Mus musculus: one gene and its partners. The protein of the gene in region 1 interacts with the protein of each later gene in a biochemical or structural test. Links are inferred from orthologs where the notes say so. Each region holds a gene or a part of one and is shown in the gene's direction. Other genes may lie near its edges. The genes, in order: Lrrk2, Map2k3, Rab8a, Mapt, Rab5b, Map2k7 and Lgals8.

Region 1 (3,500 bases):
TAGCCTTGCATCTGTGGCAATAATTTCATTTTATCTTTTATGTCTACTACAGGAATAAGTTTTGCCTTATTTCATTTCATTTCAACCTAATTTTGAGGTATGAAGATTGACCATAGCAAGCTCTGTTTTTCTGTCTAGCCAAAGAGAAGAAATTCAAGTTTTGTGTCCACTTCTTCTTTTTTGTGAAACTAGGTATGTGAGAAAGAGAGCAGTCCTAAATTGGTGGAACTGTTGCTTAATGGTGGTTGTCGTGAACAAGATGTACGGAAGGCCCTGACCGTAAGCATCCAAAAGGGCGACAGCCAGGTCATCAGCTTGCTCCTCAGGAAACTTGCCCTGGACCTGGCCAACAACAGCATTTGCCTTGGAGGATTTGGCATAGGAAAAATTGATCCTTCTTGGCTTGGTCCTTTATTTCCAGATAAGTCATCCAATTTAAGGAAGCAAACAAGTAAGTACCAATAAGAATGTGTCGTCTCTTACTTCAAGTAGACCCAACAGCATTGTTTTGAACCTAGGACTTTGTACATGCTACACAGACACTATCCCACCAATGCACTGTACACAAACTCAATCATCATGGTAGATAATTGTATTTTTTTAAATTTTACAATCTTTTTGTAGTAGATTATAAGCATGGTGATGTCAGTTAGCTTTTCCCACTCTTGGAATCTTAGTGTCTATGTTACTACTTTACATGTGACATATGGTCATAGGATATTCATAAATGTGCAAGGGTGAGCTGGTAGTAAATGATACAGAAAGCATGTGCTATATAGCAAGAACTTCACACATCAACGGTAATTAAAAGTGTTCTTCCTGAGGACCGTTGTTCACTACCTTTTGATGTTTTCAATCCATGTACTTTTGAATTTTTTTTTAAATCTAATGTATACAATGTTTTATTTGTATAGGGAAAGACATACACATAAAACATTTTAATTATTTACTCTTTCACTTATGATGTATTCTTAGACATCCAGGATACAGATTTTTATGTATGAGAATATACATGAAAACTATTAATAAACGTTATAAAAAGATTAGGGGGAAGAGAGAAATACTCAAAAACACAAAACAAAACAAAACAAAACAAAACAAAACAACAAACCATGGGAAAGCCATCCAGTGACTCCTTTGCAGTCACACAGGAGAATCAGGCAGCAAACTTAAATGTGGATAAACACGGACCAGAGAGGTTCAGACGGGAATTGTGAGGCCAGGGTCGGCAGTGTAGTAAGAACCTGGTCGAGAAAGGATTACAAACTTAACATTGTAATGGTGTTTTGATTGCTGAAAATTCCATTGGGTTGTGTTAATCACACTTAGGTAAAAATAGAACACTGTATTGAATAATAGTTCTACAAATGATGCCCCTCCTCTTCCCTCCGTTCCCCTTCCCTCCCCTCCCCCCTCTCTCCTTTTCTTCCATCTTCTCTTTTCCTTCCCCCATCTCTATATCCCCTTCTCTTCAGGGTGTCTCTGTGTAGCCCAGGCTGACCTGAAACTCTCTAAGTAAAGTAGATTGAATTTAAACTTGAAGGCAAACCCACCGTTGCCTTCTGAGCTGTGGGATCATAGATGTGAGCTACCTTGCTCACCTTTGTTCTCTGATTTCTGGCAGAATGGGTTTGTGACCTCGGATGTAAATTTGGTATTCCTTTAATTTCATGTGAAGATCTTACAGTGGCAAGTCTTGATGTAATTTTCAAAGTGTTAATGTCACTTGGGCTGGAAGATAAAATCACGATACCATTGGTTGCTTGTCTAAAGGAAAAATTTGAATGCATAGCATTGAAATATTTCTCAGGTCTTATTTGATTGACTCACATATTGTATTTATTATGAAGAAATCTCCTAGGGTTTCTGTAGATCAATGGTGACTGCCAGCACATTTCTTCTTGGTATAAAATAAATATAAAATGTAATGTAAACTTGAGAAGAGAATTGCCTTAGGGTTGAAATTCATCATAAGCAACTTGGGGGGGAGAGGGTTTATTTTCAGTGAAGCCTGCCAGAGGCAAGAGCTAGTACAGAGGCCATGGAGGAGGCTGTTTACTTGGTTACTCCTCATGCCTTGTTCAACTTTCCTTTATACAGCACTTAGGACTACCAGCCTAGGGATGGTGTAACCCACAGTAGGCTGGGCTCTTCCATATCAACCCCCAATTAAGAAAATGCCCCACAGGACTTTCTATCACCCAATCTCATCATGGCAGTTTTTCAACTGTGATTCCCTCCTTTGAGGATGACCCTAACTTGTGTCAAGGTGGCATAAAATAAGCCCGCACAGGTGTTAAAATTGTATCACATGAGCCACTGAACAAATTTTGTTTGTTACAAATTTTAGCATTGTCATAAGATTTCATAATCATGTTATTTAATTTTCTATAATCCTGCTCTGAACAGGCCACCTACTTGTTCTAGGTAAGTTGATTTGTCCTGAGAGAGCTTAATGAGCTTGCAAGTGGCATCACATGTGACAGTCCAACTCTGCCCTGAGTTAAGTTAGCTTCATGTCTGAAAATGCCCATAATACCCAAGCCTCATATAGCTGCAGCACAGATACTAAAATTAGAATGTAATAGAAAAGAGTATATGGCAAATATACACTATTACTGTATATAGTAAAGTTATTCTTCAAGGAAAAATTATTTTAAAAGCATCAGGTCTGTATAAGGAGCTTGAGAAAGGTTATGTTTATGCTGGATAATTACTGATTTCGTTTGATTTATTTTTAGACACAGGATCTGTCCTAGCGAGGAAAGTGCTCCGGTATCAGATGAGAAACACCCTTCAAGAAGGCGTGGCCTCAGGCAGTGACGGCAAGTTTTCTGAAGACGCGCTGGCGAAATTTGGAGAATGGACCTTTATTCCCGACTCTTCTATGGACAGTGTGTTTGGCCAGAGCGATGATCTGGATAGCGAAGGTATCTATTTCAAACAGATCCACTGTGGCTCATAGCTACACGCTGGCCTTGAATGCTGTAGCTCAAGAAACTGTGCGCTGCATCCCAGTGTGAACCAAAGGGCTCAGGCATGCAAGTACACACTTACAGCAAGATGACTCTCACACCGGAGTTGCTGTCCATGCGCTGATACCACTAGACTTTTGTGGCTCTGTCATTTTCTTAACCTTTATAAGTGAATGATGCCAGCCTTTCAGGGTTATAGGTAGAAAATCAAGAAATTCTAAGGAAAGAGTCTGGACTACACTTGGAAAGTTATTTCTTCTCTCTCTCTCTCTCTCTCTCTCTCTCTCTCTCTCTCTCTCTCTCTCTCTCTCTCTCTCTCTCTCTCTCGTTCCTTTTCTCTCTTTCTTTTCTTTTTGGTTTTTCCAGACAGGATTTCTCTGTGTAGCTTTGGCTGTCCTGGAACTCACTCTGTAGACCAGGCTGGTCTCAGACTCTGAAATCCTCCTGCCTCTGCCTCCCAAGTGCTGGGATTAAAGGTGTGCGCCACCATGCCCAGCCGGAAAGTTATTTCTTAACTTTATTATG
Region 2 (3,945 bases), on another chromosome or scaffold:
TCTGAGTCACCCTGGTGCCCAAGAGCCTGGCACGGGACTAGTCACTTTACCCATGTCTGTGGCATGCTTTTCCTACTTCCTCTGTTCATTCCTTAAATATTTCTTAGGCACCTACTATGTGCATGGCTCTGGGCTAAGCCTTGGGATTCAGCAGAGGATGAGACATTCAGGATTCCTAATGGGGAGGGGCACGTGGCACGGGAGGAGGGCTGCGGTAGAAATCAAATATGCAAGCCAGGCATTCGGGGCCTGAGTGTTGGCCAGAGAGCTAAGACTTACTCCAGCTCCGACTGACTCCTTGACCTTGTGCTTCTTGCCCTCACTAGACCTGACTTTCCAATCGACCCCAGAGATTCCTGGTTAGTGTGAGGACAGAGGCTCAGCGACCGACGGCCGAGATGGAACCCCAGTCAAGGCTGGCAAAAGGTATTTCAGTGTTTGGAATGACACTTTGTTTAATCGGAGACTACTCCCCAGCCCGGAGAGTGGAGCTGCTATAATGTTACAACCAGTTACTTTGTCACTAGGCAAAGGTTAGCCACTGAATTCCCCGCTCCCTAGGTGCTGGCGTGCCAGGTGCTTGTAGAGGCTGGACTTAAACGCGTGCTCGTTCAGCAAGGCGCAGTAAACTCTTTCCCACAGTCGGTGAACACTCACCTGGCACGCGCCCGCCGTGGGATCGCTCTTTTCCTGCTGCCCTAGGAGGCAAGCCGGTGGTCGCCGCTCTCTTCAGGGGAGCACATGGACGCTCATCCTCGGTATGGCTCAGCCATTTAGGAGTCTAGTCTCACTCAGGGAACACTTTTAACCCCACGGAGCACATCGGCCCTGCCCTGCCCCCCTAGAGATCTTGGGATTTTCCAGATTGCGACCCGCACACGCTGTGCCATAGGGGGGCACAGGCTGGGGCACCCAGGACCACGCCAGCACAATCCCCCGAGTGGGTAGGGCAGTCATCTAGACGGCAAGAGGGCGGAGCCGAGCTGTACTAAGGGGAAAGCTGGGTTGGATTCCGGCTCTTGGAGGGTGGGGTTTGTGCGTGACAGTCCGGGCGGCGTCTGATAGGCTGGGGCCTTTTCAGGCGGGCCAATCAGTACGATGGGCGGGGCCTGCGTGGCGCCGTCGGCAGGCGTCCGGCGCTGCCCAGTGTGGCTTTGGCGCCGCCCGCCTCGGACGCTTGGAACCGTCGCGTCTGTGTCGCCTGTCGCCCATCGCCTGCCGCCGCTGCCAGCCACCAGCAGCCATGAGCGCGCCCGGCCCCGGTGTAGTCTGCTGTCCTCTAGATTAGTGCTCTCCGCCGCGACGGTCCGCAGCATGGAGTCGCCCGCCGCGAGCCCGCCGGCCAGCTTGCCTCAGACCAAAGGTAGGCTCTCCCGCCCTGTTGCGCGGCCCGTGCCACATTCAATTTGAGTCCGCCCGTGATCCTGGGCTCCCTTCCGGGCTGGGCACAGACGTCTGCACTCCAACCCAGGACTGGGTCCAGCCCAAGCCCGGGACCTCACGGGACCTTATTGGAATCCGGATCTTAGGCCGTGGGACTTCACCCAGGCAGGACCTAGTTCTCGCTCCACTCCCAAGTCTGTAGCCTCACCGTGAGCTCCTCATTTAGGCTTCCGGGCTTCATCCTGGACTCAGGGATTTCAGTGATCCCTGCTAGAGGGTCTTTGGGCTGCTCTAGCCCTCTCAGGCCAGGCTCTTGGATTTTGTCCAGGCTGGAATTTACTCTGGGCCCCAGGGCTGTGTTCCCAATGCCGGAAACCTGTCTACTCAGAGCTCCTCCACTCTTCCAACTCCTTCCATCCTTGTGAATCCTCCTTTGCCCCATGTCTTGCTGGCCTGCTCACTGGCTGCCTGCACTCCTCCCTAAGGCTGTCCCTGTAGAACTTCCTGGCGTCTCCACTTCGCAGCTCTGCCCATGCTACCTGCTACTCAGTTGCAGTCTTCTCACTGAGTTTCCCGAGCTGACCGATTCTTGCACCTAGTGTTTCTTAGTCTGCTCTTAGACGTGCTGTTTGGTCCTTGGGCTAGCAGCAGGCCAGGGGCTGGCTGTGCAAAGCTTGTCCTTCTCCAATTAACTGTCTTTCCTGGAAATTTCTGTGAGGTGGCAGTGGTGCTGCGTGGGCTGCAGCAGCAGCATTTGTCATGGGAAGTGAGGGGGACAAGATTTGGAGGTCAGAATGCTTTTTTTTTTTCTCCAGGAAGAGAGAAGGATGTTTTTTTTTGACATGTCAGAGACTCAGTAGGGTTGATCTGCAGAAAAGATTTCCAAGCTGGACCTGGAGATATGAATGGGTTGACCCTCTGAATTCTGAACTGCTTCACCTGGCTAGTCTCTGGGCATGTCTAGGACTTATTAATGAAATGGATATTAGGGGCGTGATGTGAGATTGAATGTAGAGTGGTTTGAAGCAAGCACGTCTGAGATGATCGAGAACCCAGCATAGCGCCCAGCACATAGTAGGTACCCAGGGGCAAATAGTTGTTGCACTTCCTTGACTATCTCCAGCTTTCCTGCTGCAACGCTGGGCCCAGTTTTGGATTGCAGCTGCAGAGCACAGAGGACAGGGATGGCGGGCACCTAAGAGGGTACTTGTGCAGTGGTGGCCTTCTCTCCTTCTGACCTAGGAAACCTCAACCTCAGGAGTCCTGGTCCTGGTCAGGTTGTCCTGAGCAGGCGGGGGCCTTTTGGGTCCCCTACAGCTGGCTTCCATGGCCCTGCAGGAGCCTAGTGGACGGGGTAATTGCATCTTACATAAGTGGGAGGCCAGATCCCTGACCATTGCCCAACTTCTGTGAGTAACTAGGGAGGCACTTATTGGGGGAGGTGGCTGGGGAGGACCTTGCAGTGCAGACCTCGTGGAACTTGAGAACCAGGAAATTAGATGCTGCTCCACTCAGGAAGGGTTTGGAAGCAGTGTTTGTTTTGGAGGCATTTCAGCTCTTCCAGGCAAGAGATGCCTCACCAAAATAAAAGTTGCAGTTGCAGATCACAGCCGGAGAGATTGTGAGTGATAGGGAGAGACCATGGGCTTTCATGTGCTTGGTGACTTGAGGCCTGGCACTGGACGTTCCGGGCCTCTCTTCTGAGTGTGAGTTTGCAGATTGTAGGTTAGGTAACATGGTATTGGATGGTTTGGGTGGAGGCTTTTTCCTGGGCCAGAATCCCTGTAGCCTTTTAGGGGTCTGGAGATAGCTGTAGTGGGAAACTGACAATATCCATTCACCAAAACTCTAAGAGGTTTTTTTTTTTCTTTTTTCCACGTGTTATACATTGCTTTATTACTCATCACCCCATTTGCCCATAAACAGAGGCTGGGGAACACTTACCATTCACAGAGGCTGCACAGCTATGTTGGCAGAGCACAGCTACAGCAGGTTCTATGATGATCTCCTTCCATCCCGTTCCCATGTGAGGTGCTTAGGGGAGCCATGGGACCCTGGGACCCTGGCTATCACCCCCATGTTCACTGGAGCGTGAGGTCTGCTGAAGCAGAGGACCACCTATCATGCACGCAGTCTTTACAGTGGATGCTTCCCTCAGTGTGACCCTGCAACTGGTGCAAAGTGGAGACCTTGGCGAGGCCATACCAATGTGGACCCTGACAGGAACTCTTTTTCACCTTTGCAGGAGACTTAAAAATTACACACACAACCAGGCAGTGGTGGTGCACGCCTTTAATCCCAGCACTTGGGAGGCAGCAGAGTCAGGCGGATTTCTGAGTTTGAGGTCAGCCTGGTCTACAGAGTGAGTTCTAGGACAGCCAGAGCTACACGGAGAAACCCTGTCTTGAAAAGCCAAAACCAAAAAAAAAAATATACACATGATATATATATATATATATATATATATATATATATATATATATATATGCATGCCACATGTAGTATACTAGTATACTTTGTGGGTATCAGTTCTTTCAGTTCAGTCTTGTGGATCAACCTTCC
Region 3 (4,129 bases), on another chromosome or scaffold:
GTAAGTATGCCCAGGAATTGAATACAATCCTCAGATTTAGCAACAAATGACTTACTTTACTGGCTGAGCCATGTAGTCAGCAACTCAGATCTTTTTTTTTTTAATTTATTTATTATATGTAAGTACACTGTAGCTGTCTTTAGACACCCCAGAAGAGGGCATCAGATCTCATTACTGATGATTGTGAGCCACCATGTAATTCAGGACCTCTGGAAGATCAGTAAGTGCTCTTAAACACTGAGCCATCTATCCACCCCCCCCCACTCCTTTTTTCTTTTTAAGATTTGAGTACACTGTAGTTGTCTTCAGACACACCAAAAGGGGGCACTGGATTCCATTACAGATGGTTATGAGGCACCATGTGGTTGCTGGGTATTGAACTCAAGGCCTCTGGAAGAGTAGTCTTAACCGCTGAGCCATCTCTCCAGCCCTCAGATGTTTATCTTAATGTGGCTTTATTTTATTTTGTCACTGTTCTCCCGTTACTCCGGGACTACACCTCAACATATTAAAAAACAGAAGGGAAAAAAAAATGCTACTCTGAAACCTAGGAAAGTCACTTCACCTGTCTTCAGTATACTTACCATAAAACGAGGAAAAGATTACCTACCAAGCCGGGCTGGTGTGGGGTGAAGGACCTTGACTTATTTTTAAGTATAGATAGCACCCGCAAGCACAGAAAAGAAAACAAAACAAAACAAAACAAAAAACGCTGCCATTACTTGGAAATGATAACATAGCCCTACCGGCGCTGAAGCCCTGGGATCGCTCACGGCAATGGCCGGCTTGCCTGTACAGCACCTAAGTAAGTCCAATGGTGGGCGCCAAGGCCGAGGAGCGAGTCTGCAGCACATCTTAACCCGCGCCACTTTTGCACCGCCGAAAATCCTCCTCAGAAGCATTACCACAGGTACTTCCTGCGCTTCGCCTCAGCGCCGGCTGCGGCTACGGCTGCTGCTGCGCAGGCAGAGAAGGCGGGAAACACGAGGCGTTCTCTGCGCGCGTGCGCTCTCTGCCAGAGCCAACCGTCTTCCCAGTACGCTTGCGCCTGTTCACCAAGCCCGTCCCTCCCACTCTCTCATCAACCAGCGCGCGGAATTGTTGGGGTCCCTCCTGTCGGGGGCAGGGCCTGGACGCTGAAGGGCTGAGGAGAAGGCGCGCACGGGAAGGCGGGGTCAAGATGTGACCACACCCATCGCTGGTCATTTGACGCCCTCACCCTCGACTCTCCAGCACTAGCCAATAACAAACCTCCCTATACCAAGCGTCAACCAATGGGCTGTGCAGTCGGCTGCTTCCGGCTCTGCGCCGCTTTCGCCTTTTTCCCCTGGGCTCTCTGCGACAGGCGGGGCTCCGGGTGGCGGGCGTAGGCCTGGATGATGCGCGGCGGGCAGGGGGCCAATAGGGGGCGGGATCTGAGATGATAGACGGGTCCAGCGACCAGTGGCGAGGCGCCGGCCGTACTTCCCGTCGGGGAGAGAGTGTAATATGGCGAAGACCTACGATTACCTGTTCAAGCTGCTGCTGATCGGGGACTCGGGGGTAGGGAAGACCTGTGTCCTGTTCCGCTTCTCCGAGGACGCCTTCAACTCCACATTCATCTCTACCATAGGTAGCGGGGCCTTGGGCGGCCGGTGACCAGGGCTGGACGCGCCCCTATGGGGCTGGGCTGAGGGATCGACTCAGGATCCACTCGGGCCGAGGATCCGGGAGGGTCACGGGGCTGGACAGAGAACCGCAGCGGCCTCCACCTCCCGCCAGGGAGTCCAGGCCGGGACCCTGGCGGGCGCCGGAGACCAAGGTGCAGACAGGGACATGCAGGCTGCAGTCTGAGGAAGAGCCTGCCCTGGGGTCCTGGCGCCTGTCAACTCTCTGTGTCTTTACATCAGACCTCTACACTGTTCTTCCGGGGAGACCCCCGTCTTCCAAAAGTGGAAACTGAGGCATGGAGGTGACACCTGACCTCGTAGTTTCCTATGTGGCAAGCTTGGCATGTGCAGTATCAAATCTGTAGTGTACTCGTGATGGGTGCTTTGTCCCTGGAGGAGGAATTTGAAACTGAGGGAGGGTGCGGCACGCACTGAAGGTCACAGTCTACAGGTATTAGGGATGAGATTTGAACCCAGGTGTGTCTGACTCCAAAATTCAAGGTTCAGCTGTTCCAGAGCTTCAAAGGACCAGCACCACTGATCCACATCTAAGTCAGGACTCCAACCCAAAGTCCTCCTGCCTTCTCTCTGAGGAATGGTGACAGTATCTGTCATCCTGGTGGGAATACAAGAGAAAAAGTTCCAGTAAGAAACTAAGTCCAGCCATGGCTACGTGCAGCCTTGACTGACTTCCTTTCACTGGGCCAAGAACACCACCTGAACAGCTTTTCCCCAGGGCTGCCTCACGGCACAGTTGAACAGAATTGGCTTGTGATGGCCCCAGTTCTGACGTCAAAAATGGTGCTGACCATGCTCCTTACCATGAATAGTCATGGCTCACATTGAGTGTTACCTGGAAGTAAATCCTGCCAAACAGAGTGACCTGGATGGTGTATGGTCCTGAAACAAGAGAATAGTCACTAGGCTTGGTTTATCCCTAGTCAGGATGTGGTTCCATTGTTGGAACCCTGGGTGCCATCTCCAGCACCCTGAAACCAGATGTGGTAGTGAACACCTGTAATGACAGCACTAAGGACAGGGAGGCAGGAAGATCGGGTGCTCAGGGTCATCCTTGGCTACATAGAGTGTTCAAGGCCAGCCTGGGCTGCATGAGACCCTGCCTTGGAAGGAAAAGGGAAACTGGGGGATGATTTCTGTGTAATGTCAACTAAGTTGTTGTCTCCCTGACCTGACCGTCATGTGATAATGCCATCTAATATCTCCTTCCCAGTCAGTGTTCTGAAGCAGTCGTGTGTCAGGCGTCAAGTATAGGGAACTGGACAGGGAATCATCATACTTGAACTCTAGGTTGAGCAAGCTCTAACCCTCACTGACCCAATTTTATTTAGAGTAGATATGGCACTGTCTGTCTTGTCTGGTGCCCTGGGTGGTTGAGGATTAGATCTATACAACCAGTGGAAGGTTCAGTCTGGAGGAAGCAGAGGGTTTGGGCACAGGTGCATTTAAAGCCTCTCCCCCCACACACACCCCCACCCAAACACTCAGCTTTGGAGTTACCCTCAGGTGAGGACCAAGCAGGAAGTGACAGTAGCTACCCACAGGCTCTGGTTTGTTCTCAACACAGACCTCAGTTTCCCATCCTCAGACACTTCCTAGTCAACACCAACATGGTGACATTAGTTCAGGGGTGTTTTGTTGTTGTTGTTCAATTTGGCATGCATGCATGTGTGTGAGCATGTTCCTGTGTGCATACAGGAACAGTCGGGGTTATTCCTCAATCTTCACCTCATTTTTAAAAATTATTTTATTGGGAGTGTATGTGTATGCTTATGCACATGTATGGGTCAGAGGACACCTTTTAAAGTCTGTTCTTTTCCTCCCACCATGTGGGTCCTGGGGATTGATCTCAGGTTGTCAGGTTTATGGGTGAGTACCTTCACCCACCAAGCTATCTTTGCTTGGTCTCTCACTGATCCTGGAGCTCACCAAGTTTGAGGCTGGATGACCAGCAAGCCTCAGGACCCTTCTTTCTTGTCTCACCAGTGCTGTAATGTTATGTAAGTTTATGCCACCATGCCCAGGTCTTCATGCTTTTGTGGCAAGGACTTTAGGGATTGAGTCGTGTCCCTAGCCCTTGTTTGTTTGTTTGTTTGTTTGAGACAGGCTAGCTATATAACCAGGCTGTTCTGGAACTCATGGAAATCATCTGCCTCTGGCTCCCAAATTCCAATGTCAAAAGGCAACTTACAGGAGTCAGTTTCCTCCTTCTACTGAGTAGGACCCAAGAATTGAACTCAAGTCATCAGGCTCAGTGGCAAGCACCTTTATCCACTGAACCATCTTGCTGACCTGTATTGCTTATTTTGCATCTCATATATGTTTGTTCAATTTTTCTTTTTGAAATACTGGGGATGGAGCCAAGGGCCTCAACACAGGTCAGCTACACATCCTTTTCCATCTGGCTGGCTTAAAACATTTTTTTTAAGTTTTTTTTTTTTTTTTTTAATATAGGTGAGTAC
Region 4 (4,300 bases), on another chromosome or scaffold:
ATAATTCAGTAATTAAGCTCATATGGGAAAAAATGTTTGTGGTGCTAGAAAACTGAACCCAAAGTTATCTCAAAATTTTATTTTGGGGGCTGGAGAGGTGGCTCAGGGGTTAAGAGCACTGACTGCTCTTCTGAAGGTCCTGAGTTCAGATCCCAGCAACCACATGGTGGCTCACAACCATCCACCCCCCCAGCCCAGAAGTGTGTTTGTTTGTTTGTTTGTTGACTCACTTTCACCCTGTAATACAATTCAGGCTGGCTTGGATTCTGCTATATAGCCCAGGCTGATCTTGAACAAGTCTCAGCCTATCTGAATGCTGGGATTACAGATGTGAGCCAACACACCGAGCAGGTACAACGTTGGAGTTTTAGAAACAACTGCTGGGATAGCAGTGCACACCTTTAATCTCAGCACTCTAGAGGCAGAGGCAGGCAGGGGATCTCTGTGAGCTCCAAGCCAGCCAGGGCAACATAGTGAGAACCTGCCTTGAAAAATAAAGAAAAAACGGCATGCAAATGAAAGCTTCAAGACAAGTTTTCGCCTCTTTGGCAAGAAGTAGGTGCCTGTCTCTCTTCCTTGCATTTGAACAGGCTCCAGCTGTCCAAGAGAATTGAGCTTTGGGGAGGTAAGATATTAAGCTAAAGCCACAGCCCACGCCTACGTAGCTGGAAGGAGAACTAATGACCAATTTCAACCGGAAGCTTGACATCCAGCAGGTGGCCATCTCCAGCAGGCACCTTAAAAATTCAGCTCTCACGCTGTACAAAGGTGTTTCAATAAACGAGATAAAAATAACTCTGTGAAAATGCCTTGCAGTGTGTGTGGTAAGCATCATTAGAACTTACCTATTTAAAGATTTTTCTTCGCTAGGGTCACAGTCAAGATACCTAATGGGTTTGAATGCTCCTTGATTTAAAAACAATTGTTTTTCCACGAAAACGCTAAAGTGTATTACGGTCAAGTTAATCTGTTTCGAGAAGATTTGTCAAGGAAATCATTCACTTTGGCCATTAACAAAAACAGGTGGAAAGAAAGCAAGCGAACAGCTGGCCCTGGAAATAGAAAGTGCGCTCTATCTGGAGGGCCACATTTTAGGAGACTCGGGGAGCCTGTAGCACTTGGGGTTCACGGTGTACCGCCTGGAGAGCCAGCGAGGGTGAACTGAAAAGCGGACGATGACCGACACACCGCTCTGCCTGGACCCCGCGGGGACCGAGGGAGGGGACCCCTGGACTAGACAAAGGCTGCAGCCCCGGGAGGCCGGGTGCGCGTGCGCCACGGAATGCGCGTGCGCGCGGCGGTCAGCACCGCGGCCCGAGGCGTGGCGGGACCCGGGGAGGGAAGCGCGGAGAGGGGCGAGCCGAGCGGCGCGGAGAGAGGAGGGTTGAGGGGCGCTCGCGTGCGCCCCCTAGCGGTCGGAAGGGGAGGTGCCCGCCCAGGCCTCGCTGCCCGCCCCTCCCCTAGGGAGGTTCGCGCTCCCGTGGCTCGCGCCTGCGCTGCCCGCCGGCCTCCAGAACGCGCTTTCTCGGCCGCGCGCGCTCTCAGTCTCCGCCACCCACCAGCTCCAGCACCAGCAGCAGCGCCGCCGCCACCGCCCACCTTCTGCCGCCGCCGCCACAACCACCTTCTCCTCCGCTGTCCTCTTCTGTCCTCGCCTTCTGTCGATTATCAGGTAAGCGCCGCAGCTCTGAAATCCAGTCCCCTCTGGCCCTGTGCGCCGTCCTCCTGCCACCCCTCGCCCCAGAGATGGATTTAGGGAGCTGGGCATCAATCAGGCGCAACGGCGGGGGCCTCTCTGCGCCCTAGGCGCTGGGGAGCTGGGAAGGAACGCGTGCAAGAGATGCACGCACGCGAGCGAATGCGTGTATCTATGAGTGCTGGGGTCCCCACTATCGGCTCCGCGCAAATGAGGGGGGCTGTGCCCGCAGGGTGGGGCGCGGATGACGGTGACCTAGGGAAGGGGTTGTTCTGTAATCTGGATCTCAGCCTTTTGCCGCAATGGGCGTGGGTCTGTGAGTGTGCATGGGGGTCCAACGACGACCCCCGAAACAGAACCTGAAATCGGATTTCTCTGCTCCTGATTGCCATCAGCCCTAAGGAAGGTGTGGATCGGGTTCTAGAAAAGATGACTGCCTTCATGTCTCTCCACCTCCCTGACAGCGATTCTGACACGGCCTTCACTGGCCCTGATTTAAGGCGGTGGCCCGCCCCCTCCCCTTTTCCTCCTTCAGAAGCCGGCAGGGGACATTTGGGGGCTGGGAGGAATCCGGAGGATGGGGAGGGGTCCAGGCGCTGTCACGTTAGTCGCCCTTCCCCCTGCGCGCGCTTGGTACAGTGACAGGGGCAGCGCCGTGCCCGAGAGAAGGTAGTGCGCGGATCCCAATGTGGGAGCTCGAAGAGTCAGGGGTCACCTGGCCTCGCGGTGTCAGCGGGCTGGCTGGCAGCGGCTCCCCGCTCGAGGGCGCGCAGCGTTGCAGCCAGGCACAGACCCACGCGAGGGCTGCAGGTGCATTTCGGGGCGCGTTTCTTTCTCTGCGTTCTGCGCCGGGCTCCCGGCATGTGCGCTCCCTGCCGGAGGCGCGGGCTGGCGCGCAGGGCTCGCCCCTCACTGCGGCAGTGGGTGTGGACCTGGGTGGGCGAGGAGGGGGGAGTACGATGTGTCTCCTCCCGCTGCCACCCCTCTCCGTTTTTTCCCCCCTCTCTGAACGCGAGGTGCCATCTTTTTGCGGCGAGTCACGTCTCTATCGTAGCATGCCAAGAGCTGTGGCCAGGCTTTGGAGGACCCGGCTTGGACCCATGTTAAAGAACAGGGGGTGATGAACACGGAAGCCTTGGCGTTTTGCCTCTGCAGCGGTGCGCACCAGAGCGTTCACCTGAGGTCGTCTAGGGGAGCTCGCTGCTTTGTTCGTCGTGTGATTTAGGATCTGCGCTCCCAGCCCTGGTTTTTTGGGGGAGTGTGCGGGGGGAGGCGGGAAGCTTTCATTCGACGAGGATATTTGCCTACGCACTCGGAGCAGCTCCATCCTTTTTTCGCCACTCTTTTCAGACCCTTTGTTGGATCTACAGACTTGCGGCAGCCCACTCCCCAGTTCGACCCAGAGCCACATGGGTGGGATTCGAGATAGACTCTCGTGTGCAGGAGCCCTCAGAGGAAGCACATCCCTCCCCACACCCAGGCCATCCTGAGGACCACACCCCACTTGTGTTTCACTGCTAGGGGAGCCAGATAACCCTCGGGAATGGGGAGATTCGGCAAGCTCAACTCCGCATCCCCACCACCACCACCACCGTTGAACCCTGTTGCCTCTCCCGGTGGGAGAGTGTGAGGAGAGGGTATGAGATCCCCTGGGATACTGCGGCCACACCCATCCCTCCCAACCCAAGGAGAGAGGGTTAAGGGTTGCCATAGGAACCACACCAGCCAGAGGAGGAACCTCTGGGCGTTACCTCACCCCCTACCTCCCACCCCCTACCTCCCACCCCCCCCCTTACTCCGCGGAGATTTAGAATCCTGGGGTAGTCTGATAGTGCCTGGAAGACACGAGGAAGGGGCCCCTCATCCCTGATGCGAGCATCATTCTCTTGGCACTGGCAACCATAGCCATCCAGAGAGAGAGAGAGAGAGATGCCTCTAATGTATTTTATTATAAGCGTGCTGACTGATATTATTTTATTAATATCATTTAAATGAGGGACTTTCATTTTTAAAAAAATCCACATCTACAACAGCCCTTGAAACCAGAGAGGGATAGAAAGCTAAGAGGTCCCAGCCTCCCCACCGTACAGTAAGCTCGGTCTTCGAGGTTTTCTGGTTAATTTTACCGCTGAATACTGGTGCGGGTAAGCAGTTTTGAGACCGATGGATGAGCTTCTTAAGGGCCGAATTGCCCACGTCGACTGCTCACTCAGATTGATGTAGGCTGGGGGTGGAACGCCCTCTCCCGATCAAACCGCGGCCTGAGGCTGTGGCATCGTGGCCGGGCCCGCCTGGCAGAAATTTCGCGAGCATCTGAAAGATAGGTTCAAATACTACCCATCCCTCGCCACACGACGGGCTGCTGGGAACAGGATTCTTAAGCTAGAAGAAGCCAGGCTCTTGGGCTGGATGCGGAAAGGGGAAGGCTGGGAGGGGGGGCTGACTATAGCGGGCCCGTTGGGCAAAGGTGTCACAGCGGAAAAATCAGCGGGAGGGGGAGGAGACAGAACGTTTTACCCAGTGCAGAAACAAAGCTCAGATCACAGCGTCTTCGAACTCCCATTTTGCACTGTGTTGAGGGGTCGAGTGAGGTACTGTGCTGGC
Region 5 (4,062 bases), on another chromosome or scaffold:
AGTTACAGGCAGCTGTGAGCAGTGGTACTGGGAACAGGCCTTGGGTCTTCTACCGGAAGTGTATGCTTCTCTAGCTTGCCTCTAGGCCCTAGGTTCAATCCTCAGTACCGAAAAAAAAAAAAAATCCTCAGCAAAGTTGTCTAAATGTTTTTTCACATTTACAAACAATTCAGAAAATATCAATGTGAAAATATTTAGGAGGCTAAAGTGTCTTCAGACTACCACTTTCTGTTGTCATGGCAATTCACCCCAAAACTACTGTTCTCTAGTGCGCCACTAAAAAGAATTTACAAGATAAAAGTTGTTTAATTTCCTGGTTTTGGGTCTTTACTTTTTTTTTTTTTTTTTTTTTTTTTTTTTTTTTTTGGTTTTTCGAGACAGGGTTTCTCTGTGTAGCCCTGGCTGTCTTGGAACTCACTTTGTAGACCAGACTGGCCAGACTCAGAAATCCGCCTTGCCTCTGCCTTCCCAGTGCTGGGATTAAAGGCGTGCACCACCATGCCCAGCAGGGTCTTTACTTTCTTAATTTGACACAGAAAGCAGGGCACGGGGAGAAGAGAAGGTTAATGCTGGTATCATTGTTTTTTGTTTTTGTTTTTTTGGGGGGGGGACATCGTTGTGTAGCTTGGAACTCATGGAGATCCTCCCGATTGCTAGGATTAAACATGTGGGCCACCAAGCCCAGTTTACTCCCCTCCCCATCCCCCTTATACTGAGGTCTTGTTAAACTGAGTATCCCGGGTTAGCCTCAAACTCAGAACTGCCTCCACCCCAATCCACTGTGCTGAGATTGGGAGTGCCACACCACACCCGACCAAAAGCCTTCTTCACTTCTTCACTAGCCTTGCCTGCCTGTCAAATTCGGAAATTTCCCAATACTGGTTAAAATTTCCTTTTGACCCGCCTTCTTCACTCACCTGATTAGATGTTTACGAGTCGAGAGGCGGGGGAGGGGTGTCACGGGTGTTGAGGTTCTATTGGCTGACGCACATGCCTGTCAGTGATGCACTGCCCCCTTTCCCAGGAGCTCTCTCTTTAATGGCTACTTATCCCGTCAATCTTCAAGGCTTCTCGTGTAGGTATTGGCTTGCGGCCTCGCCAATCCAGTCTCTCACTTGTGCTAGTTGGTGATAGTCCCTCAGAGCCCGCCTTTCTCCAGAAGATTGGCGGGCGGACGCTCACATAGCCCACCCACCACGGTAGGCGGGTGATCTTGCGATTGGCTGGAGCCGCCCCGGCGAGGAGGAGGAGGAGGAGGAGGCGAAGGGGGTAGGAGTTTGGTTGAGCTGCAGCTGTTTGTCTGTTCCACACAGGCTTGGGCCCGACGGGGGATACGGAGCCCCAGGTACCGAGCTGATGGAGCCCACAAGGGCAGAGGCGGAGGTCCCGAGAGGAGCGCCGCCTGGCCTGTGGCAGAGGCGGGGCGGGCCGACGTCAGGGCTCCAGAACCTCCTGGAGAGGGCCGAAGGGGCTGTCCCACAGGCCTAGTGGGCGCTGAGGAGGTGATCGGCAGGGCTGGGAGCCGAGCCTCTAGTTGGGAGGCGGCTGGGTTCTGGCTGTGGTGGCCGCTCGGGGGCCGGGCGCGGGGACCCGGAGCCGGTGAGGACCAGGGCCGGCCTCGGGACTCTGAGCACCGCGGTGAGGAGGGAGGAGCTGGGGTCGGAGACCAGGCAGTGAGGGAGGGGAAGCCAGCCCATTTGGCTGGAGGTGTGGAGGGGACAGTGCTACGCCCAGCCCCGAGGGTAGCCGAGGCTGGGTCTCCCGAGACATCCACTGTTGGGGCTCTTAGCCGAGAGAGGCATTCTTTTCAGGGAAAGTGACTGTTGAAAGGGGAACTAGGGGTACTGGTGTTGCCGAGAGGGATTTGGTCTCACTGAAGTCAATGAAGAATGTAGAAGACCAAAGTGGAAGGAAGTAGAAACGGTTTGCTATTAGTAATGGGAACTTCTGGAATGATGGTGAGGGGAGGCTCAGTATCTTGGAAGTTCCTTACTCTTCTGTTCCTTTAGTGCTTGGGTGTGGTGATTTGAAGTTTTGGGGTACTTCAGGAATAGGGAATGAAGACAAAGGTAAAATTATGTATTATTCCATGGCGCCTGGCAGCTCTACGTCCAGCCCCCCCCCCCCACACACACACACCACTTTAGTTTACCCTGACCTCATAGCTAGTCATGACTGCACTCCTGTTTCCTTTAGGTTTGCTATTGTATTCGTTGTTTTTCCTATTTCATCTACTGTGAGAGAACTAAGAAAATTTGGGAGTGCTTTGCTCAGTCTTTCCCACTTCATAATGTGATCTGTGGTGACTACGCTTATTTAACCTAGATTTGAGGAACTCTGTCATTTGCATGGAAAGGGGCAAAGCAATCCCCAGCCATTAAAAAAAAAAAAAAAAAAAAAAAAGGACCATGTTTATTGAAACTTCTGTGAGACTTGCACTTGAGCATTTCCTAGATAGTTAATGGGACAGACTATTCACGCCAGGAACTGTGAGGTGATATCCCTGAAGGGATTTGGGGAAGAATTGAGAGGTTAGCTACCAGAAGGTTGGCACCATCCTTTCTTCTTTGCCCACTTATTCAGGAACGTGTGTGTGTGTGTGTGTGTGTGTGAGATTAGTTATTTAGGTCAAACCTTGAGGTATTTAGAAAGATGGATTATAGAGAATGAAGAAGTCTTTAAATTATATTATATGTAATAACCTGCATACATATGTGAGCCACAATGTCAGAGGATAACTTGTGGCTGTTTGGTATTCAAACATGGCATGTGTGTGTGTGTGTGTATGTATGCATACATATATACACACACACACACATATAGAGGGAGGGGTTTGCTAACCTGTCAAATTTTTTATAGATTGGACCCTATTGGTTTCTCCCTTAGGGTTCTACCTCCTCTTCCTCCTCCTCTTTCCTTTCTATACTAATGTTAGTGATCACTGAATTTATTTATTTTTTTTACCACATAGTGTCCTGCATATATACCACATGCATGCAGGACCCCTCAGAGGTCAGAAAAGGTACTAGACCCGCTGGACAATTAGGAGCTGCCGTGTTGGTGCTGGAAACTGAACACAGGTCTCTTACAAGAGCACTAAGGGCCGCCAAGCCATCTCCATAACTTGTATCACTACATTTCTTAATTATCAAAGTAACACATACATATATTAAAGTGTTTAAGCTGTACAGAAATATATAAAATCTGAGTCCTTCTATACATAGCTTATTTCATTTAGGACAGTTAGAGGTATTAAATAAGACTAATCAAGAGCAGAATACTATGGAAAGAATGAGACCATCATTTAGTGAGCACATGAAAAAAACCCAAGCAAAGACAGGTTTTTTTCATGTGCTCCTAAATGCTGTTCTCATTCTCTCCACGACATTCTCTTGGATGACACTCTGCTATTTATTGTGTTCCCTTTGCCGTTCATCTTGCCTTCTATCAAATTCAGAACAAACATAGAGCTGTCCTTTGAGTTATCATTTGCCTTCTTCAGTGTATACACATAGTGGTGCACTGGGTAGTCTAGAAACCGCCCAAATGCATAATAAGCAAGACTTTTATAGGCAAGAAAGAAACAATAAGGGGAATAATTTTGTTTAGGATAGTTGTTAGCATCTCTACTAGAGTGAAGAATCAGAAACCCCTCGTTCATCCACATTTTCACAGTACTTGACTGTCTCTTCCTTATCTCAGGGAGATGGTCATGGTTCCAGAAGAGGGTCTTGTACCTGGCTTGGTATAGTGACCCAAGAAGTTCCCATATTTCTCTGAATTTGAACTTGGACTTTTTTGACTTTTTGAAGCCCTCTAATATGGTCATTGCACGGTGTCCAGCAAAAACCTCAGTTTACCCCTCCTCCCACTTTCTCACCTACACAGTCAGTCCTGGAGAAAACTATTGGGATGTGTGTATGTGTGTTCACCCTCTGTAATCTTTGCCATCCTTTTGTTTTGTTTTGTTTTGTTTTGTTTTTCGAGACAGGGTTTCTCTGTATAGTCCTGACTGTCCTGGAACTCACTTTGTAGACCAGCCTGGCCTCTAACTCAGAAATC
Region 6 (3,329 bases), on another chromosome or scaffold:
GGTGTCCTCATGCTACTGGGGAGGGTGGAGGCTGGGAAAAGGGGACGGGATGAGATGGGCACAGCTACAGGTACACCCATGGCTTGTGGCTGTAGACAGGAGTTAAAGCTGGAGCCCTGGGAGTCACTTTTTGGGTTTGTTTGGACCTGTGGGGAACCGCTGGCCCTGTGGGTGTCTGGCATGGCGACCCTGTGGCTTTGCAATGGAGGTTGTGTAGGAATATCACACTTGAGTCTTAACTTTCTCTGATGTGACCCTCACATTGCGCGTGGTTCCAGCTCCCCAGCTGGGTCTTTACCTAATACTATATTGGGCCAGGAGAGTTTGTGGATCCCCAGCCTGGTGGAGCCTGGCTGTGAGCAGCTGCTTCTGGCTTACTGGAGAGGGAGGGCCTGAGCATAGATGGGCATCCAGGCACAGTCGGGCTTCATTTTTCTGACTCTCATTTCTCTTTTCTCCCTGCTCTTTGTCCAGCCTTACTAAAGATCACAGGAAGAGACCAAAGTATAATAAGCTACTTGTGAGTACCTCTCCCCCAACCCCCACCACGTGTGAAGTCCTCCGGGTCTCAGTTGCAAGACCAGGAGGACTGACTCCTCATAATAAGCAAACTCTTGGGCCTACAGGAACACAGCTTCATCAAGCACTATGAGATACTCGAGGTGGATGTCGCGTCCTGGTTTAAGGATGTCATGGCGAAGACCGAGTCCCCAAGGACTAGTGGAGTCCTGAGTCAGCACCATCTGCCCTTCTTCAGGTAGCCTCATGGCAGCGGCCAGCCCCGCAGGGGCCCCGGGCCACGGCCACCGACCCCCCCCCCAACCTGGCCAACCCAGCTGCCCATCAGGGGACCTGGGACCTGGACGACTGCCAAGGACTGAGGACAGAAAGTAGGGGGTTCCCATCCAGCTCTGACTCCCTGCCTACCAGCTGTGGACAAAAGGGCATGCTGGTTCCTAATCCCTCCCACTCTGGGGTCAGCCAGCAGTGTGAGCCCCATCCCACCCCGACAGACACTGTGAACGGAAGACAGCAGGCCATGAGCAGACTCGCTATTTATTCAATCATAACCTCTGGGCTGGGGTAACCCCCAGGGGCAGAGAGAAAGCCCCTTGTCCCCATCCCCCCAAACTCCCAGTGTCTGTCCCCTCCACCTTCTCTCGCACACATGCTTGCTCTACGTCTTTCCTTCTGTCCCCTCCCTCTCTACCACTGTCCCTTTCTGGTTCCCCTGTCTCCCTCCCAGCCTCTGAAGCCTGGGTGCCGCCACTCTACCCTCAGTGGAAGGAAGCCCCAGGTTCATCTAGGCTTCCTTAAGTCTTTGTCCTAGGATGGCTTTGTGGGCATTGTGACTGCAGCCAAATGGTTGCTGTCTCTGTGTCTGTCTGTCTCTCTTTGATCTCAGGGGGTCCTTTTGGAGTTTATTGTATTTTATTGTACTTGGTGGGGGTGTGTTGGGGGGGGGGTGTCCTCATGGGGTCGGTACCTTCAGAAAATTTTACCAAAGTAATGTTTAGCTGCTTGTGGTGGCCCCCTCTCCTCCATTGCCTCAGGCATTGGGGGTTGGACTGCTTGCTGCTCCTTGTCATTTCTGGCCTAGGAGAGGCCAGGCTCCATGGGGGACCCTCACATGGGACTGGGAGCTGCTGACAGTTTGGGGTTGAGTAGAAGAGCTCAGGTGGCACAGAGGGAGACCAGGGGCCTCAGCCACACGATGGCCTTCAGGGAAGGTGTATGAGGGATGCAGTAGAGAGTAGCAGGTAGCAGGGAGGGACTGTTGGGAACAGTGACAGGAGGGAATCCTGCCAAGGGGCAGGAGGGGTCCCGAGAAGTCAGGGATTAGGAGTGAAGGGAGTAGATGTGGAGGTCCGAGCATGTGAATCAGGGACGAGACGGACAGGCGTGAATGCAGGGGAGGCCAGAGTATTGGGATGCGACGCGACTTACTCCCAACATGCCCCTGAGCATGCTTTAGCTCACCTAGAGCTGACCAGCTCCAACCCAACCTGTGGCCTGGACTGGGCCAGGTGCCTGTCCCATTGTCCTGCAGTTTCGAGGACAGAGTGGGGTATGTTTCCTTTTTGTTGGTGATGCATGCAGTTCAAGTGGACAAGAGAACAATATAACAAAACAAAAAAATTTACAACCACAAATCCCAGCACCAAAGTTGAGAAACCTTGCTGGAAGTAGCTGATGCAACCATACGTAGGCTTAGGTGACACTGTGGCTCTTAACTGTCCTGTTGACGCCTCTTCATCCTATTCTCACAATGCCGCATGCTTAAATCGTAATAGAAGTCATCTTCTATGCCCGGGTAGGGTAGGGCACCCTCTCTCCTTATCTCCTGTGTTGGGGAGGCGGAATGAAGTAGGGAGAGAGTAGCAAGCCCGGCCCCACCCTTACCATTCTGAGGCTGGCCGCAGCATGGCTAGCCTTTGTGTGTACTTAGGTCACATGGCTGGTCCCAGGGCCAGCACAGGCCCAAGACTGGGCCTGATGGTTTTATTTTTATTTAACTTTATTTTCTGTGTGTTGTCTGTCTGTCTGTCTGTCTGTGTTGTCTTTGTCTACTGCCCTCTAATGTTAAGTGGGAGTCTGGAGGAGTCTCCCACTTCCCCACCTTCTCCCAAGTCCTTCCCTCTGTCACCAGCCATCCCTCAGGCCCAGGCAGAGTGGGTCTCGGGCAGGTAGGGACCTGGAGTGGCCTGGTCCCACCCTCTGACCTCCTCCTCAGGCCACCAGTGTTGCCCTCTTCCCTTTTTAAAACAAAATACCCTTGTTTGTAAATCCTTAGACGCTTGAGAATAAAACCCTTCCCTTTTCTTCCGAGTCTGGTGTCCTAAGCCTGGTAGAGTGTACAGAGATATGGGAAGGGCCTGGGAGGAGGGCTTTTAGTGTGGTTAGGGATGACATTCATGGGAAACTAGCCGGGCCGGGAGCTGGGTGGGAGGTGTTTGGAGTGACCGAAGGCATCAGGCAGCTTTGTGAGGGGCCCCCCTTGTAGAAATTTCAGTACATCAAGAAAGCCCTTATCCATGGCTGGCCTTGAGCATGTGCTCAGATGTCAGCCCCTCCATCCTCCGCCCCCGCTCCCTGCTTCCCAGGGTGGCAGCCTCACCAAGGCCAGGGCTACCTACCCACACCTAGAGGGCTGGGTACAGCCCAGCCAGGTGCTCGCTGCCGGTCTGGAGCACTCGAACCTGGACAGGCCGCCATGGTGGGCACTGCGCTCCTGCTCCTGGCCCTGCTCCCTGGGACCTCCAGTAAGCACGGTACACCACGTGGTACGTAGAGGCTGCCACGGGGTGGGGGCATTGTGTCCCACTTGC
Region 7 (4,104 bases), on another chromosome or scaffold:
AACAGGTTCTCCAGGGAGGGAGTCGGAATTAAAAAGAAAAAAGACAACAAGACAACACTGTGGCATGACCCCAGCGAGTTCTGAGGCTGAGTCAGGCTTATAATGTTTTTCCAGTCTGCTTTGATACCAGTTTAAGTACATGCAAAATAATATCAGTTCTGGGTCAAGGACAAGCAGGACTATAAACACAAACAGTCAAGGAACAAAGTCCTGTGATCAATGTTTCCAGGCAGGGGCTTATCAAGATGACCAAGATATCTGAGCCTACTTCCCTCTCCTAGCCCAAAGTCACATTCTTGACTGAAGCCTACTTCTTTGCTCTAGCCCAAAACGATATTCCTGCCTGAGCTTACTTCTGTGTCCTGGCCCAATGTTTAATTCCTGCAAAGTTTCTAGAAACGGGCTCCAAAAGCTCTCCACACCCTATCTCTTACAAACCCCAGAAAGTGTAGTGAGAAGCCTACCACACCTAGTAATAACAACAGAGCTAAGACAACATACATCAAGGGTTAACTCCAGCTATTAAAGTAGAATCTTGAGGAGTTAATCAAAATTAGAAAATGGACATGAGGAAGGAGAAAAAGTAACGAATCAGAACACGAGGTTGCTGCTAAGAGGCTTTAAAAAAATAAAATACAAGTTCAAAACAAAATAAAACACACAGCCAGAGAAAAAGACCAAATGGCTATGTCAAACATGTCCTTTAAAAACAAACATGGCTAATATCTAGAAAAGAACATAACCTTGAGGCCATTAGGACATCAAAACTAGGTAGCTCAGTCAGCCATTCTCAGCGCCCTACAGTTTTATTTAAGTTTGTTCGTACAAATACGGGGCAAACCGTCAGCAGTGCAGCGCCCTGACTATGCAGCTCAGTGCTTATTGACCATCTACTCTGCTCAGAACTGAGCATCAGTGTCTAAACTGTTTCCTAAGGAAGCGTTCCCTGTAGTAAACTCCAGCACAGAATAAGCGGCCAATCACCCAGTGTTGACATGTTCTGGCTACTGCTCACAGGATGGGGTTTCTTGCAGGGACAAAGAAGAACGAATTCCTCCACACACAAGGCTAGTTATTGGCAATGAGTGGCTGCTAAATCTGATTGGCTCACAACATTGTTCAGTTCTGACCCAAGGCTGCAAAGGAGGCAAACCCAGGAGTACCCCGGCCACACCCCCCACGATTATTCTTTAAGTGTATTTTTAACACCCTTGAGATCAGGTATCTGTCCCAGAGTGACCCCGAATTCCTTAAGTTCTCCAGTATGACATTGAACTTGTGGTCCTCCTGCCTCCACCTCGCAGGGCTGGAACTACAGGGGTGCACCCCGACCGATTTGTGCAGAGCTGGGTGGAAATCAACCTGGGGGCTTCCAGCACGTGAGGTGAGCCACACCCCAACCCCAGCCAGCCACTCCCACAGCCAGCCATAGGTCTGCGTGTGTGACATTAAGAGCCCAACAGCCCCAGCTCGCAGCACTCGGACGCCCCGCCCCTGCAGTCGTTCTCGCGGAAACGGCCGCGGGCTGACCCCGCCCTCTGCCTGTGGCGGCTCCGGGAACCGGACGGCGTCCGTCAGGGGACACAAGTCGGAGCAAAGCGCTTACTACCACCGGGGTGAGTCCTGGCGACTGCGGGCTCAGGGACATCGGGATACCACTGTTCCCGGACCGGAATCCGAGTGTGGACACGGCATCCCGCCGTCTCCTCCGTGACACATGCACGGGGCACCGGACACCGGGAGCGATCGTGGGTTGAGGCTTGTACTGGGACCGTAGTGTCGGGACAACGCTGACTGCTGCGGTGAGGGCTCTCCGCTCGGCGGCTCACCTGCCAGGGAAAGGGCGAGCATCACCTGGATCCCCAAGAATGACAGGCCCAGGGACAGTTGACAGCTGTGTCACACTCCGTTATTCCAGACACGCACTTTAGCATGCTGCGTCATTCTATCCCAACGTTAAACACGGGGAAACGCAATTTCTCTGGGTTTGGGAATCGTCCTAAACCTAAGCCACGGCTTGTTGTGACTGACGGTGATACGTGTCTGGAGACTTCGGAGAGTAGTTATTTAATGCCAACCTAGGCCATCTTGATCTCTCTCCGGGAAAGATATCAATTATGGATGTGGTGATGGCAATTCCTTGTCTCCTTTTTGCTCTAGTTCGTGCTTCCTGGATTGCACAGAACAGAATTAAAGGCTCAGAGGATTTGAATAAAATGAGTTAGTGACAGATACTAGGTAGGGGTCTAGGGTGGTTTTTAGGGGTGTAACCAAGAGAGATGCAATTTTCTTTTCTCCGGTAAAATAAGAGATTTGGCGAGTGCCTATTGTCTACAGCCTGGCGGAACTGTAGGAAGTAAAAGACAGGAAACTCTAGTTTCATTTTCTGGCTTGGTTCTGGTTTGAGTCATCAGGACTAGAGGTAGTAAATGATTCAGTGGGCAGGGCGCAGTGCCGAGGGGGCGCTCTTATCTTTCAAAACCGGGCTGATGCAAAACATTGCATTTGGTATTCCCCGGAGTAACTCTGCCACCCCCACCCCACCCTCAACTTACTTAATTTGGCTGGTTGAAGAAGAGCAATGTTTTCTAGCAATAATAGCTAACACATACAGAGCTGTTTTCTGCTATTTAAACTAGTACAATCCTCAGGGCAATCCTATGATGTGATTCCTACTTGTTTTACTAATAGGAAAAGTTAAATGAATATTGTCCTGGTTTCAAAGCACTGCTTGAGTGATATTTGTGTCTTGGTTTTGTGTTATTTCCTAGCTTGTATTTTATTTGTATTTACTGCTTTTGATTTGTTTGGTTTTGCAGTGCTGGCACAGAACCCAGGGCCTCATCACACTAGGCAAGCTCTCTATTCAGCCCTTAAACATTATCTTGAGACAGGATGCCTTAGTCTCTATTCTCCTGCTGTGAAGAGACACCATGACCATAGCAACTCTTTAAAAGGAACGCGTTTAACTGGGGCTTGCTTATAGTCTGAGAGGTTCAAGTCCATTGTCACCATGACTAGAAAGCACGTGGCATGCAGGCAGACGTGGTGCTGGAGAAGCAGCTGAAAGTTCTACATCCGGATTCCCAGGCCGCAGGAAGGGAGAGGCACTGGGCCTGGCTTGGGCTATACCTCTTAATCCTTTTAAATAGTTCCACTCTTTGGTGATTAAGCATTCAAACCTATGAACCTATGGGAGCCATTCTTATGTGAACTGCCTGCCACACGGGATCTAACTCACCTAGGCTAGGGTCCAATTGTTCTTCCTGTCGCAGGCTTGCTCACAAGTGGCTTCGATCACAGGTATTGTGCCACCACACTTACAGTTTTAGTATTTTTAACAGGAAACTTCATGTAATTTCCTCCTTACATATTTTTTAAATAATTCCTGCACTGATCACTTAAAATTATTTCATTTAAGGCCAGGCATGGTGGCACATGCCTTTAATCCCAGCGCTTGGAATGCAGAGGCAGGCAAATTTCTGAGTTCAAGGCCAGCCTGGTCTACAGAGTGAGTTCCAGGATAGCCAGGGCTACATAGAGAAACCCTGTCTCAGAAAAAAAAAATTATTTCATTTCTAAGTATGTTATGAAGACTATATGGTAGGACTTTGGTTATACTAACACTTATTTGGTAACTATCCGTAAAGTAATATAATTTACATAGAAAAGTTTGATGTAGAGAAAAATCACGCATGGCTGTTTTTCTATATTGTTTTTACACAGGACAAGTTTTTACTTTGAGTAATCCTTAAATGAAGAGTGGGTAAAGTGTGTATACGGAAGAGAGACTCCAATCAACAATATCAATAAGTTGAAAAAGAAAAATGTTGTCCTTAAATAACCTACAAAATATCATCTATAACCCGGTAACAGATTTTTACCTTTTTTTTTTTTTTTTTTTTTTTTTTTTTTGCCTGTGGTAGGATTGACAGGAAATACACTCAAGTTGTAATTATCACTGGGGCCAGGCATGAACACACAGTTCAGTTAGCACACACACACACACACACACACACACACACACATGTATGCATAAACCTTGACGCTACAACACACACATGAAGGGAAGGTCTGGGGACAACTCTTGGGAAATTATATTCT

The links.
Region 2: of the proteins of Lrrk2 (region 1) and Map2k3, one has a biochemical effect on the other in vitro, tested with the Homo sapiens proteins (2 studies listed by BioGRID). The link is inferred for Mus musculus from reciprocal best matches to the Homo sapiens genes LRRK2 and MAP2K3.
Region 3: of the proteins of Lrrk2 (region 1) and Rab8a, one has a biochemical effect on the other in vitro, tested with the Homo sapiens proteins (2 studies listed by IntAct). The link is inferred for Mus musculus from reciprocal best matches to the Homo sapiens genes LRRK2 and RAB8A.
Region 4: of the proteins of Lrrk2 (region 1) and Mapt, one has a biochemical effect on the other in vitro, tested with the Homo sapiens proteins (3 studies listed by BioGRID and IntAct). The link is inferred for Mus musculus from reciprocal best matches to the Homo sapiens genes LRRK2 and MAPT.
Region 5: of the proteins of Lrrk2 (region 1) and Rab5b, one has a biochemical effect on the other in vitro, tested with the Homo sapiens proteins (2 studies listed by IntAct). The link is inferred for Mus musculus from reciprocal best matches to the Homo sapiens genes LRRK2 and RAB5B.
Region 6: of the proteins of Lrrk2 (region 1) and Map2k7, one has a biochemical effect on the other in vitro, tested with the Homo sapiens proteins (2 studies listed by BioGRID). The link is inferred for Mus musculus from reciprocal best matches to the Homo sapiens genes LRRK2 and MAP2K7.
Region 7: the proteins of Lrrk2 (region 1) and Lgals8 form a complex in vitro, tested with the Homo sapiens proteins (2 studies listed by BioGRID and IntAct, with this or other methods). The link is inferred for Mus musculus from reciprocal best matches to the Homo sapiens genes LRRK2 and LGALS8.

What each region holds. Positions count from the first base shown.
Region 1 is NC_000081.6:91,728,724-91,732,223, forward strand, and holds part of Lrrk2 (leucine-rich repeat serine/threonine-protein kinase 2), read left to right. Parts: intron 1-192; coding exon 193-451; intron 452-2,741; coding exon 2,742-2,930; intron 2,931-3,500. UniProt on the Homo sapiens protein: Serine/threonine-protein kinase which phosphorylates a broad range of proteins involved in multiple processes such as neuronal plasticity, innate immunity, autophagy, and vesicle trafficking.
Region 2 is NC_000077.6:60,930,909-60,934,853, forward strand, and holds the start of Map2k3 (dual specificity mitogen-activated protein kinase kinase 3), read left to right. Parts: upstream 1-1,145; 5' UTR 1,146-1,314; coding exon 1,315-1,363; intron 1,364-3,945. UniProt on the Homo sapiens protein: Dual specificity kinase. Is activated by cytokines and environmental stress in vivo. Catalyzes the concomitant phosphorylation of a threonine and a tyrosine residue in the MAP kinase p38.
Region 3 is NC_000074.6:72,159,871-72,163,999, forward strand, and holds the start of Rab8a (ras-related protein Rab-8A), read left to right. Parts: upstream 1-1,329; 5' UTR 1,330-1,488; coding exon 1,489-1,612; intron 1,613-4,129. UniProt on the Homo sapiens protein: The small GTPases Rab are key regulators of intracellular membrane trafficking, from the formation of transport vesicles to their fusion with membranes.
Region 4 is NC_000077.6:104,229,936-104,234,235, forward strand, and holds the start of Mapt (microtubule-associated protein tau), read left to right. Parts: upstream 1-1,500; 5' UTR 1,501-1,672; intron 1,673-4,300. UniProt on the Homo sapiens protein: Promotes microtubule assembly and stability, and might be involved in the establishment and maintenance of neuronal polarity.
Region 5 is NC_000076.6:128,693,469-128,697,530, reverse strand, and holds the start of Rab5b (ras-related protein Rab-5B), read left to right. Parts: upstream 1-1,262; 5' UTR 1,263-1,345; exon of another isoform or gene 1,346-1,643; intron 1,644-4,062. UniProt on the Homo sapiens protein: The small GTPases Rab are key regulators of intracellular membrane trafficking, from the formation of transport vesicles to their fusion with membranes.
Region 6 is NC_000074.6:4,245,069-4,248,397, forward strand, and holds the end of Map2k7 (dual specificity mitogen-activated protein kinase kinase 7), read left to right. Parts: intron 1-474; coding exon 475-520; intron 521-626; coding exon 627-761; 3' UTR 762-2,588; coding exon of another isoform or gene 2,589-2,691; 3' UTR 2,692-2,829; downstream 2,830-3,329. Other genes in the region: Tgfbr3l (transforming growth factor-beta receptor type 3-like protein precursor), read left to right, coding at 3,215-3,284. UniProt on the Homo sapiens protein: Dual specificity protein kinase which acts as an essential component of the MAP kinase signal transduction pathway. Essential component of the stress-activated protein kinase/c-Jun N-terminal kinase (SAP/JNK) signaling pathway.
Region 7 is NC_000079.6:12,458,939-12,463,042, reverse strand, and holds the start of Lgals8 (galectin-8), read left to right. Parts: upstream 1-1,304; 5' UTR 1,305-1,802; intron 1,803-3,726; 5' UTR 3,727-3,827; coding exon 3,828-3,869; intron 3,870-4,104.